Macaca fascicularis: one gene and its partner. The protein of the gene in region 2 purifies or fractionates together with the protein of the main gene of each other region. This does not show direct contact. Links are inferred from orthologs where the notes say so. Each region holds a gene or a part of one and is shown on either strand. Other genes may lie near its edges.

Evidence for each region. The genes of interacting proteins can lie anywhere in the genome.
Region 1: the proteins of MTMR3 (region 2) and PLK1 purify together in Homo sapiens (affinity purification with mass spectrometry; 4 studies listed by BioGRID and IntAct, with this or other methods). This does not show direct contact. The link is inferred for Macaca fascicularis from reciprocal best matches to the Homo sapiens genes MTMR3 and PLK1.

Annotation. Positions count from the first base shown.
Region 1 is NC_088394.1:22,754,479-22,758,854, reverse strand, and holds part of PLK1 (serine/threonine-protein kinase PLK1), read right to left. Parts: intron 742-4,376; coding exon 586-741; intron 1-585. UniProt on the Homo sapiens protein: Serine/threonine-protein kinase that performs several important functions throughout M phase of the cell cycle, including the regulation of centrosome maturation and spindle assembly, the removal of cohesins from chromosome arms, the inactivation of anaphase-promoting complex/cyclosome (APC/C) inhibitors, and the regulation of mitotic exit and cytokinesis.
Region 2 is NC_088384.1:21,641,801-21,646,176, forward strand, and holds part of MTMR3 (phosphatidylinositol-3,5-bisphosphate 3-phosphatase MTMR3), read right to left. Parts: intron 4,356-4,376; coding exon 4,210-4,355; intron 2,778-4,209; coding exon 1,373-2,777; intron 235-1,372; coding exon 124-234; intron 1-123. UniProt on the Homo sapiens protein: Lipid phosphatase that specifically dephosphorylates the D-3 position of phosphatidylinositol 3-phosphate and phosphatidylinositol 3,5-bisphosphate, generating phosphatidylinositol and phosphatidylinositol 5-phosphate.

The DNA.
Region 1 (4,376 bases), on a different chromosome or scaffold from region 2:
TGTGAAGACAGACGCCGGCTGCAAACACATGAAAATGTTATATTCAGTGCATGCAACAAACACCTTACTTTAAATCCAATCAAAGAAGAAGGACGTGTTGGACTATGTTGGGTGAGAAGTGTTATGGAAAACTATGCAGTGGGTAAGGGGATGCGAAGCACCAGCAGAGGGGCCAGGGAGATGCTCACGGAGGTGACACCGGAGCAGACACTTGAAGGAGGCCACAGTGTGAGCCATGTGGTGTCTGGAAGAAGTGCTTTCATGCCAGGGCCAGGGAGAAAGCCCTGAGGCTGCAGTACGTCTGGGTCTGTTATTTCAAGGGTCTTGAAGAAACAACAGGAACTTACTGAGCAAAAGAAACAGCGTGTGAAGGTGGCACATCGAGGTGCTAGAGTAAGAGACGGATCAGAAAAGAAGGCAGGAGCCACAGCAAGCAGGGCCTCGGATATCAGGAAATGGGGAAACCAATGGTCCTATGGAGACGGGGCCTGGACAAGTCACCAGTGCTTTGTTGGCCAAGGCTCCTCCTGCCTTCTCCAGATGCCCCAAGCAATCCTGCCCCGCCCAGGGCCCCGCAGTACCCACCTTGCCTGACCAGCCCGCGCTCCGAGGGCTTGGAGGCATTGACACTGTGCAGCTGCTGCAGCATGTCACTGAGGTGGCAGTCGACCACCTCACCTGTCTCTCGAACCACTGGTTCTTCCTTTTCCCGGGTACGCTCAGGCAGGGGGTTCTCCAAGCCTAGAAAGGTGACAAAAACAGGGGCGTTGGGAAGGGCATAGGACTCCCCTGCCACAGCTGAAACTCTTCCAAAAGAAAAATTCTCTTAGCTACCATTGCTTTGGGGAAACTGAGTCAGTGCCTGGTTATTAGAGCAGCAGCTGCCATGCTCAGGTGACAGGCACAAGTGCTCACTGTGAGGCAACAGATCTTCAGATGCTCTGGCCTCTGACCCAACGATGTGGCCCTGCAGGATACGACCTGCCACTCAGGCAAACAGCTTGAAGGCAACAGCAGCTCAGAGCTGCCCAGCTTCGAGCAAAGAATTAAAAGCATCTTCAGCATCCAGGCAGATGGAAGGGCTGAGTAGTTCAGTTCATCCACAGAATGGATTCAGTTGGCATTTAAATAAAAACACAAGAAATTTTTTTCCACCCCAAAATTTGCTTTATATGCTTATTTATAACCAAAAAAAGCTTGAAAAGATACATGAAATTTTAACGCTGATTATATCTGGGCAGTAGAAACACAGATTATTTTTGTTGTCTTTTTCCTTATTTATTTATTCCCCCACCAACATGTGGTAATTCTCCTTGCATAATATAAAATGTTTAAGTTTTCAATTAAAAAACAATGCCATGATAGGGACTTAGGTATGAAATAATAAGATATTAGGGATTTGCTTTAAACACTCCAGCAAGGCCAGGCCTAGTGGCTCACACCTGTAATCCCAACACTGAGAGGCCAAGGCAGGTAGACTGAGCTCAGGAGTTTGAGACCAGCCTGAGCAACATGGCAAAACCCTGTCTCTACTAAAAATACAGAAACTAGCTGGACATGCTGTCCCAGCTACTTGGGAAGCTGAGGTGGGAGAGTCACTTGAACGCAGGAGGTGGAGGCTGCTCTAAGTCATGATCTTGCCACTGCACTACAGCCTGGGCAAAAAAGCAAGACTGTCTCAAATAAATAATAAATAATAATAAATAGTAAATAATAATTTTTTTAAACTCCAGTAACAAAAAAGGCAGAGGCTGGAATAAATAAAAAAAGTCTGTCCAAATGTTGATAAGTAGTAAAAATAGATGAAACATGGGACTCATCATACAGTTCTCTCCACCTTTGGGTAACTGAAAATTTCCTTAAGTTTTTAAAATGCTATATGAAAAATTAAAACTGAAAGACAAAAAGTAGGAGGCTGAGGCAGGAGGATCACTTAAGCTCAAGAGTTCGAGACCAGTGTGCGCAACAGGGCAAGACCTCATCTCTACAAAAAATTTAAAAATTGGTCAGACGTGGCACGTGCCTACAGTCCCAATTACTTGGGAGGCTGAGGGTGGAGGATCACTTGAGCCCAGGAGGTCAAAGCTACAGTGAGGTACAACTGTGCCACTGTGTTCCAGCCTGGGAAACAGAGCAAGACCCTGTCTCAAATTAAAAAAAATAAATGAAAACAGAGAAATAAGTAATCCTTTAAAATATAGCCCAAAGAATAAAATATCCATGAGTCTATTTCAGACATAACCAAATAAATAAATCAATGGGAGAGAAGGAACAGCTCTTCCTTACAGGAGAATTCCAATTATTAAATGTAGAAAAAGTAAGGAAAAGAAAAATTGCCATTAGAACATCACTGTAGGCAGGACACAGTGGCTCACGCTTGTAATCCTAACACTTTGGGAGGCAGAGGAGGATCACTTGAGGGCAGGAGTTTGAGATAAACCTGGTCAACATAGTGAGATCTTGTCTCTACAAAAAAAATTTTTTTTTTTTTTTTTTTTTGAGACAGTCTTGCTCTGTTGCCCAGGCTGGAGTGCAGAGGTGAGATCTCGGCTTACTGCAACCTCCACCTCCCGGGTTCAAGTGATTCTTGTGCCTCAGTCTCCTGAGTAGCTGAGATTACAGGTGCACACCACCATGACTGGCTAATTTTTTGTACTTAGTAGAGATGGGGTTTTGCCATGTTGCCCAGGCTGATCTCAAACTCCTGAACTCAGGCAACCCGTCCACCTCGGCTTCCCAAAGAAAAAAAATTTTAATTAGCTGGGTATAGTGGCACATGCCTGTAGTCCTAGCTACTCTGGAGGGTGAGGCACGGGGACTGTTTGAGCCCAGGATGTTGAGGCTGCAGTGAGCTATGATTGAGCCACTGCATTCCAGCCTGGGTGACAGCAAGTCCTAAGACCTGTCTCAAAAAAAATTCCACTGTAGTAGCTGCAAGGTATGTGGAAACTCTGGGGAGTTTTTTATTGTTGCAACTTTTCTGTATAAGCCTAAAATTATTCCAAAATGAAGTTTAAGAAAAACCAATGCCTAAAAATTGAAAACTGAAAAATGAACTGAAGTTGTACATCAAATTGGTGATATATCCACAGAGCAAAAAAGTATTTCAAGTGACTTTTTAAAACTATGTATCCTCGGCGCCTGTGGTCCCAGCTACTCGGGAGGCTGAGGCAGGAGAATGGCGGGAACCCGGGAGGCGGAGCTTGCAGTGAGCTGAGATCTGGCCACTGCACTCCAGCCTGGGCGACAGAGCGAGACTCCGTCTCAAAAAAAACAAAAAACAAAAAACAAAAAACAAAACAACAAAAAAACTATGTATCCTTAGTGAAATATACTTTAAAGACAATTAGAAATGCAAGAAAATAAAATATCATTTAATAACAGGAACTCATATATGTTGAAAATTTTAAGCATATTAATGTAAGGGAACAAGATTTTCAGTTTAAGAGAAAAGAAATATGAGTATAAACCAAACAAGTAAAAACAGATTAATATTGTGTCTGAATCAGACACTTAAAAATTACCAAAAGAAAAGCAGCAACTCCCCAGTGGAGGAAAAGAAAATCACTGTAAGACAGTATGTATCAATGTTAAATTTCCTGAACTTGGGAATTGTGCCAGGTATTATTGTTATGTAAAAGAATCTGTTTGTAGGAAGCATACACTGAAGCATTAAGGGTAAAGGGTAGGACGTATACAACTTTTGAATGTTCAGAAAAAAGAGGGCAATTGATAAATGCGAAAAAAAGTGTTAACTGGTGAATCTGGGCAAAAGGGGAGAATGGGAGTGTCTTTTTGGTCTCTGCTACGTTTTTCATAAGCTTACAATAATATAAAAAAATGTTTAAAAATGTGTGATTTGGAAATACCAACACAGACTCAATGTCAGTCTTTCCCCACTGCCACAAATGCAGTTCCTAATTCTGTTCTCTGAAGAGACCTAGAAGCAATGACAACCTAAGCAATGGCATGTGGTTTTTTGATTTTTAAGAAAATGTCCATCTTTTTTAAGAGAAGTATTCTGAAGTTTATGTATAAAAATGGCAAAGTGCCTGGGGTTAACTTTAAAAAATACTTCAAAGAAACAAAAATAAATGAATGAAGCAAACTTGACAAAATCCTGATAACTAATTATTGAATCTGGTAAGTATGAGGGAATCCATTACATTATGCTCTATATGTGTACTTGAAAATTTTCATGCTGGCTGGGTGCAGTGGCTCACACTTGTAAACCCAGTACTTTGGAAGGCCAAGGCGGGCAGATTGCTTGAGCTTAGGAGTTTGAGAACAGCCTGGGCAACAAAGTGAGAATCTGTCTCTACAAAAAATACAAAAAATTAGCCAGGCATGGCAGCACACGCCTGTAGTCTCAGCTG
Region 2 (4,376 bases):
GGCTCAAGCCTAGCTGTGCTGTGAGGTGCTTCCTTGGCCAGGGGTATGGGGTGGGAATGGGGGTGGAGAAGAACCACAAAACAGTTAAATGGATGGCACTCAGAGCAGGGGCTGAGCCTGTACCTCCGTGTCCTGTTTATCCACCTGCTCCCAGCTGGCTTCAGAGAAAATCTCTGTGCTGCAGCGAGACAAACAGTTCTGATCCAGATTGCTTTCCGAGTCGGGGATTGAAGTCTGTTGGCAAACAAACACAGCTGAACAGAATGAACCTCGTCTCCTCCCAAAAGAAGAAAAGGCCTGGTGAAGAGGGGAGCACTGAGGACTCTGGGTGGGGCCGAGTGCTAGGACTGCCGAATCTGCAGATGCATCAGCCATCAAGAACTGGGTGAAGAAGTGCAGTGTGGGCCTGGGCTCAGCTGGGAGACGGATACACAGGTTGTGTGCAGTGACTCTGGAGTGGAAAGACAGGCCTCAGGGTTCCAGAAAGTGAGAGAGAAGTGACCCAAATGGAATGAGAATTCTGTATGTCAGCTGCTCCAGTGGGCCTGTCAATCCAAACCTGCCTGCCACTTAGTTAAAGCTGAGTGCTTTCCAGATGCCCGCCCTCTTTTTGGAAGGACTCTCTGGGAACATGAGAAACTCATTAGCATGAAGGAAAAGCCAAGTCACTCTGAACTGAAAGTCATTGGATGTGCCCGCCTTTAATGCACGCTGACCACTTGAGAGCCAGGCTCACAATTGTACTTGAGCTGCCTGAATCAACTCTACCCAGAGAAGAAAGCATCTCCTTGAGAACCTCCCCTCTGGAACCCCTTTCCAGCCACCAACCCCCATCAGAGCTAACTCCTCAACAGTGCTAGAAACCAGTCCCTTCTCTCCATTTCTACTGCCAGCATCTGCCACAGGGTGGGGTATAAATATTTGTTTAAAAAGAACTGAACCTTCAAAGTCATAGCCTACATCTGGAAGGGCTAATACTTTGCAGTTACTAAGGTAGAATAGGCACTAAAATCTGACAGGAATAACTTGGCATTGCCCTACAGATGTCATTCTGCCCACGGGTTCAAGCCCTTCTGAAGACTTATGATCCTGTGTCTGAGAGATCTGACCAACCATGTAGTGCATGCTAAGTCTCTTCCTTTCCAACGGCCTCAATAGGACATCTGTGGAAAGTAAGCAAAGCAGAAAACAGGCAGGCTGCCATTGCTGTGGCAGAGGCTCATCTCCAGCCTCTCTTAACAGGGTTACTCTGGACCTTTCCAATCCTTATAACAACCTGTACCAATCACCATGCTCTTGGCACAAAAGGCACCCAGCCTTAGTGTGCCCTGTCTCCTTAGGCAGCTATGGAGGAATACCACAGCCTACTCACCACCTCATCCCCAAAGTCTCCATTAAAGTGTAGGGAGCTGGTCAGGTACTGGCTCTCCAGGCGACTCTTCAGCTCCTGGACTTGTTTCTTCAAAGTTTCTACTTCCTGCTGGTGGCCTGACTCAATCTGACGCAGGCGCTGTTGGATTGTGTCTGTGTACACTGACATGCCATCATCATCCAGGTGGCTGCGGGAAGGCTGGTCGGGGCTACTGGTTGCAGATGGCCTCCCTGAGTGGCTATGGAGCCACTTGTGGTGCAAGTTCCTTGAGTGTAAGTGGGCAGAGCTGCAGCTCATAGCAGAGAGCTGACGGCTCAGTGAGTCCTTGCTCCTACCAGCCTCCCCATTGGCGAAATGCCCATTGGGTGTGGCGTACATCTGGAGGGTGCTAAGACCTGGGGGCTGCTCTGAGGCCCTGTTTTCAGTCTCTGGGGCACCGTTGCACACAAGCCCCTCTTTACATTCAGCTAAAGGCAAGGCACAAGGGGAACGTGTCAGGCTGAGAGTGCTGCCAGGGGAAGTCCTATGCACCACAGACCCCACTTGGGGCCTCTCAACCAGGCTTGTCTCTGAAGGGCTGGGTTCCATGGTCTGGGGAAGCCTGTCCTTGCCACTATTAACAAGGCAAGGTCTATGATGGACTTGGGGCCCACTTCCTGATTCCACCTTATCTTCCACTAACATGTCTGTAGAACTGTCCACATTTGGTCCTCTGGTCTCAAAAGGGACTTGGGAAGGTAGCAGAGAACATGATTGTGAGGTACCATAGCCAACTTTTGCATCTACTGGGATTGGAAGAACTGCTTCCTCCCTACTCTCTGCCTTCTCTTCTATTCGAAACTGCTCCACAGGGACCTCCAGGGAATCCTCATCCCTCGGGGGGAACTGGAGAGAACTGAGGAGAACACTGAGCCCACCCTGCTGTTCAGAAATACCCTGTGAAAACAGAGGCCGGCTCATGTCCAGATGGCTCCTCAGAGCAGCATCACCCAGTTCTAGGTCTTGGTGAAGTCCAATGGCTGAGGCCTCAGGCGTCTTCCTCCTGCTCTCCTTTTCTAAGAGAGGGTTCTCTTTATCCTCCTGCATCTCAATGCCTGCCCTGTGGGCAGGCTCCTCTACTCCACTCTCCTCTTTGGTGGCCTCCTGCAAGATGTTCTCCATCTGCCCCTCGGCTACTCCAGCTGCAACGGAAAGCTCGGCACCCCCCGGCACTCTGGTGGGCTTCCCTAGGCTGTCGGCAGAAAGGGGATCCTCTCCAGGGCCAGCCAGGCTGCTCAGCTCTAGCGAGCGCCGGTGTTCCTGCCACTTCTCGTTCAGGCTGGGGTCGCTGCAGCGCCGGCTGGCTAGAGGCACTGTGTTGTCACAGGCTGTGCTCAGATTGTCATACGATCTAGTCTTTGGTAGCCTACAGGAAAGAAATTTGGGGGAAATGAAAATCTTGGAAGCTGTCTGGAGGGAAGTAGGAGACAATAGGTTTTAACAAGCAGTTGCTTTATAACTGGGTCCGTTACAGCTACTCATGGAGCTATAGCATCTCTGGAGCGAGGCCCAGACTGCTGGAGCGGCAAAGCTCCGGAACAAGTCCTCCTCCTAGTGTGCAGATTTCCTTTCACCCTCCCCCAACCCCATGCCCCATACATACAAATGAGCTAACAGCAAATGCTTTTTTTTTTTTTTTTTTTTTTTTTTTTGAGACGGACTCTCACTCTGTCACCCAGGCTGGAGTGCAGTGGCGCAATCTCAGCTCACTACAACCTCCTCCTCCCAGGTTCAAGCGATTCTGCCTCAGCCTCCCGAGTAGCTGGGATTATAGGTACCTGCCACCACGGCCAGCTAATTTTTGTTGTATTTTCAGTAGAGATGGGAGTTTCACCATTTTGGCCAGGCTGGTCTTGAACTCCTTATCCCAGGTGATTTGCCCACTTTGGCCTCCCAAAGTGCTGGGATTACAGGCGTGAGCCACTGTGCCCAGCCTGCAAATGCTATTTCCAAAACACATTCTTCATGATGCTGCTGTGTTTCTCAGTGGGTGGCAAAGTAGCACTGGTGTTTCTTGATATTACAGTATTTTAAATTAATGCGTTATCTATCAGTCTGTATTTAATAAAGCTAACTCTCAAGTGACAGAGCCAAATTTTTTTTTTTTTCTTTTTTTTTTTTTTTTTCTTTTTCCTGAGACAGGTCTTGCCCTGTCATCCAGGCTGGAGTGCAATGGATCTTGGATCATTGCAACCTCCACCTCCCAGGCTCAAGCGATCCTCCTGCCTCAACCTCCCAAGTAGCTGGGACTACAGATATGTGCCACCACGCTTGGTTAGTTTTTGCATTTTGGGTAGAAACGGGGTTTCACCATGTTGCCTAGGCTGGTCTGGAACTCCTGGGCTCAAGTGATCCTCCCGCCTTGGCCTCCCAAAGTGCTGGGATTACAGGCATGAGCCACCAAGCCTGGCCCCAAAGCAAAATTTTCTGTCATCTGACAGCATCTGCCTTTTACGCCTCAGAAGACAAATCATGGCAAATAGGCAGGGGCACAGAGCACTGGGGAAAACACAAACCAGGGGGTCACAGAAAACCTGGAGGATTTGCTCTATCACTGAGGAGCTGCTCAGTGCATGCAAAACAACATGAAGCAACAGGGCCCAACTCACTCCCAGAAACAAGGCTCTTACAGCCTTGTAACCCAGAAATCCCTATAACTTCCCTGAAAAAACTGCAGAGATCTAAGAAAGATATTGTGGAGGCAGATAACATTATGATCTCTAACCATCCCTGGACATGTCCCAACACAGGAATACACCACACAGGCTGTCAGGCCCGTGGCATCACCCTGGGCTCACCGGCTCAGGGGTGGATCATCAGGGCTGGTGCCTGGGGCTGGGTATGGTGCACAGCTGTCATCCACAGGGGTGGTTGGGGATGGGCAGGGCAGGTACACTGCACTCCACAGCATCAGGTTACGCACATGGCACACAGGGTACAGCACCTGAGGAGGGGGGAGGACACA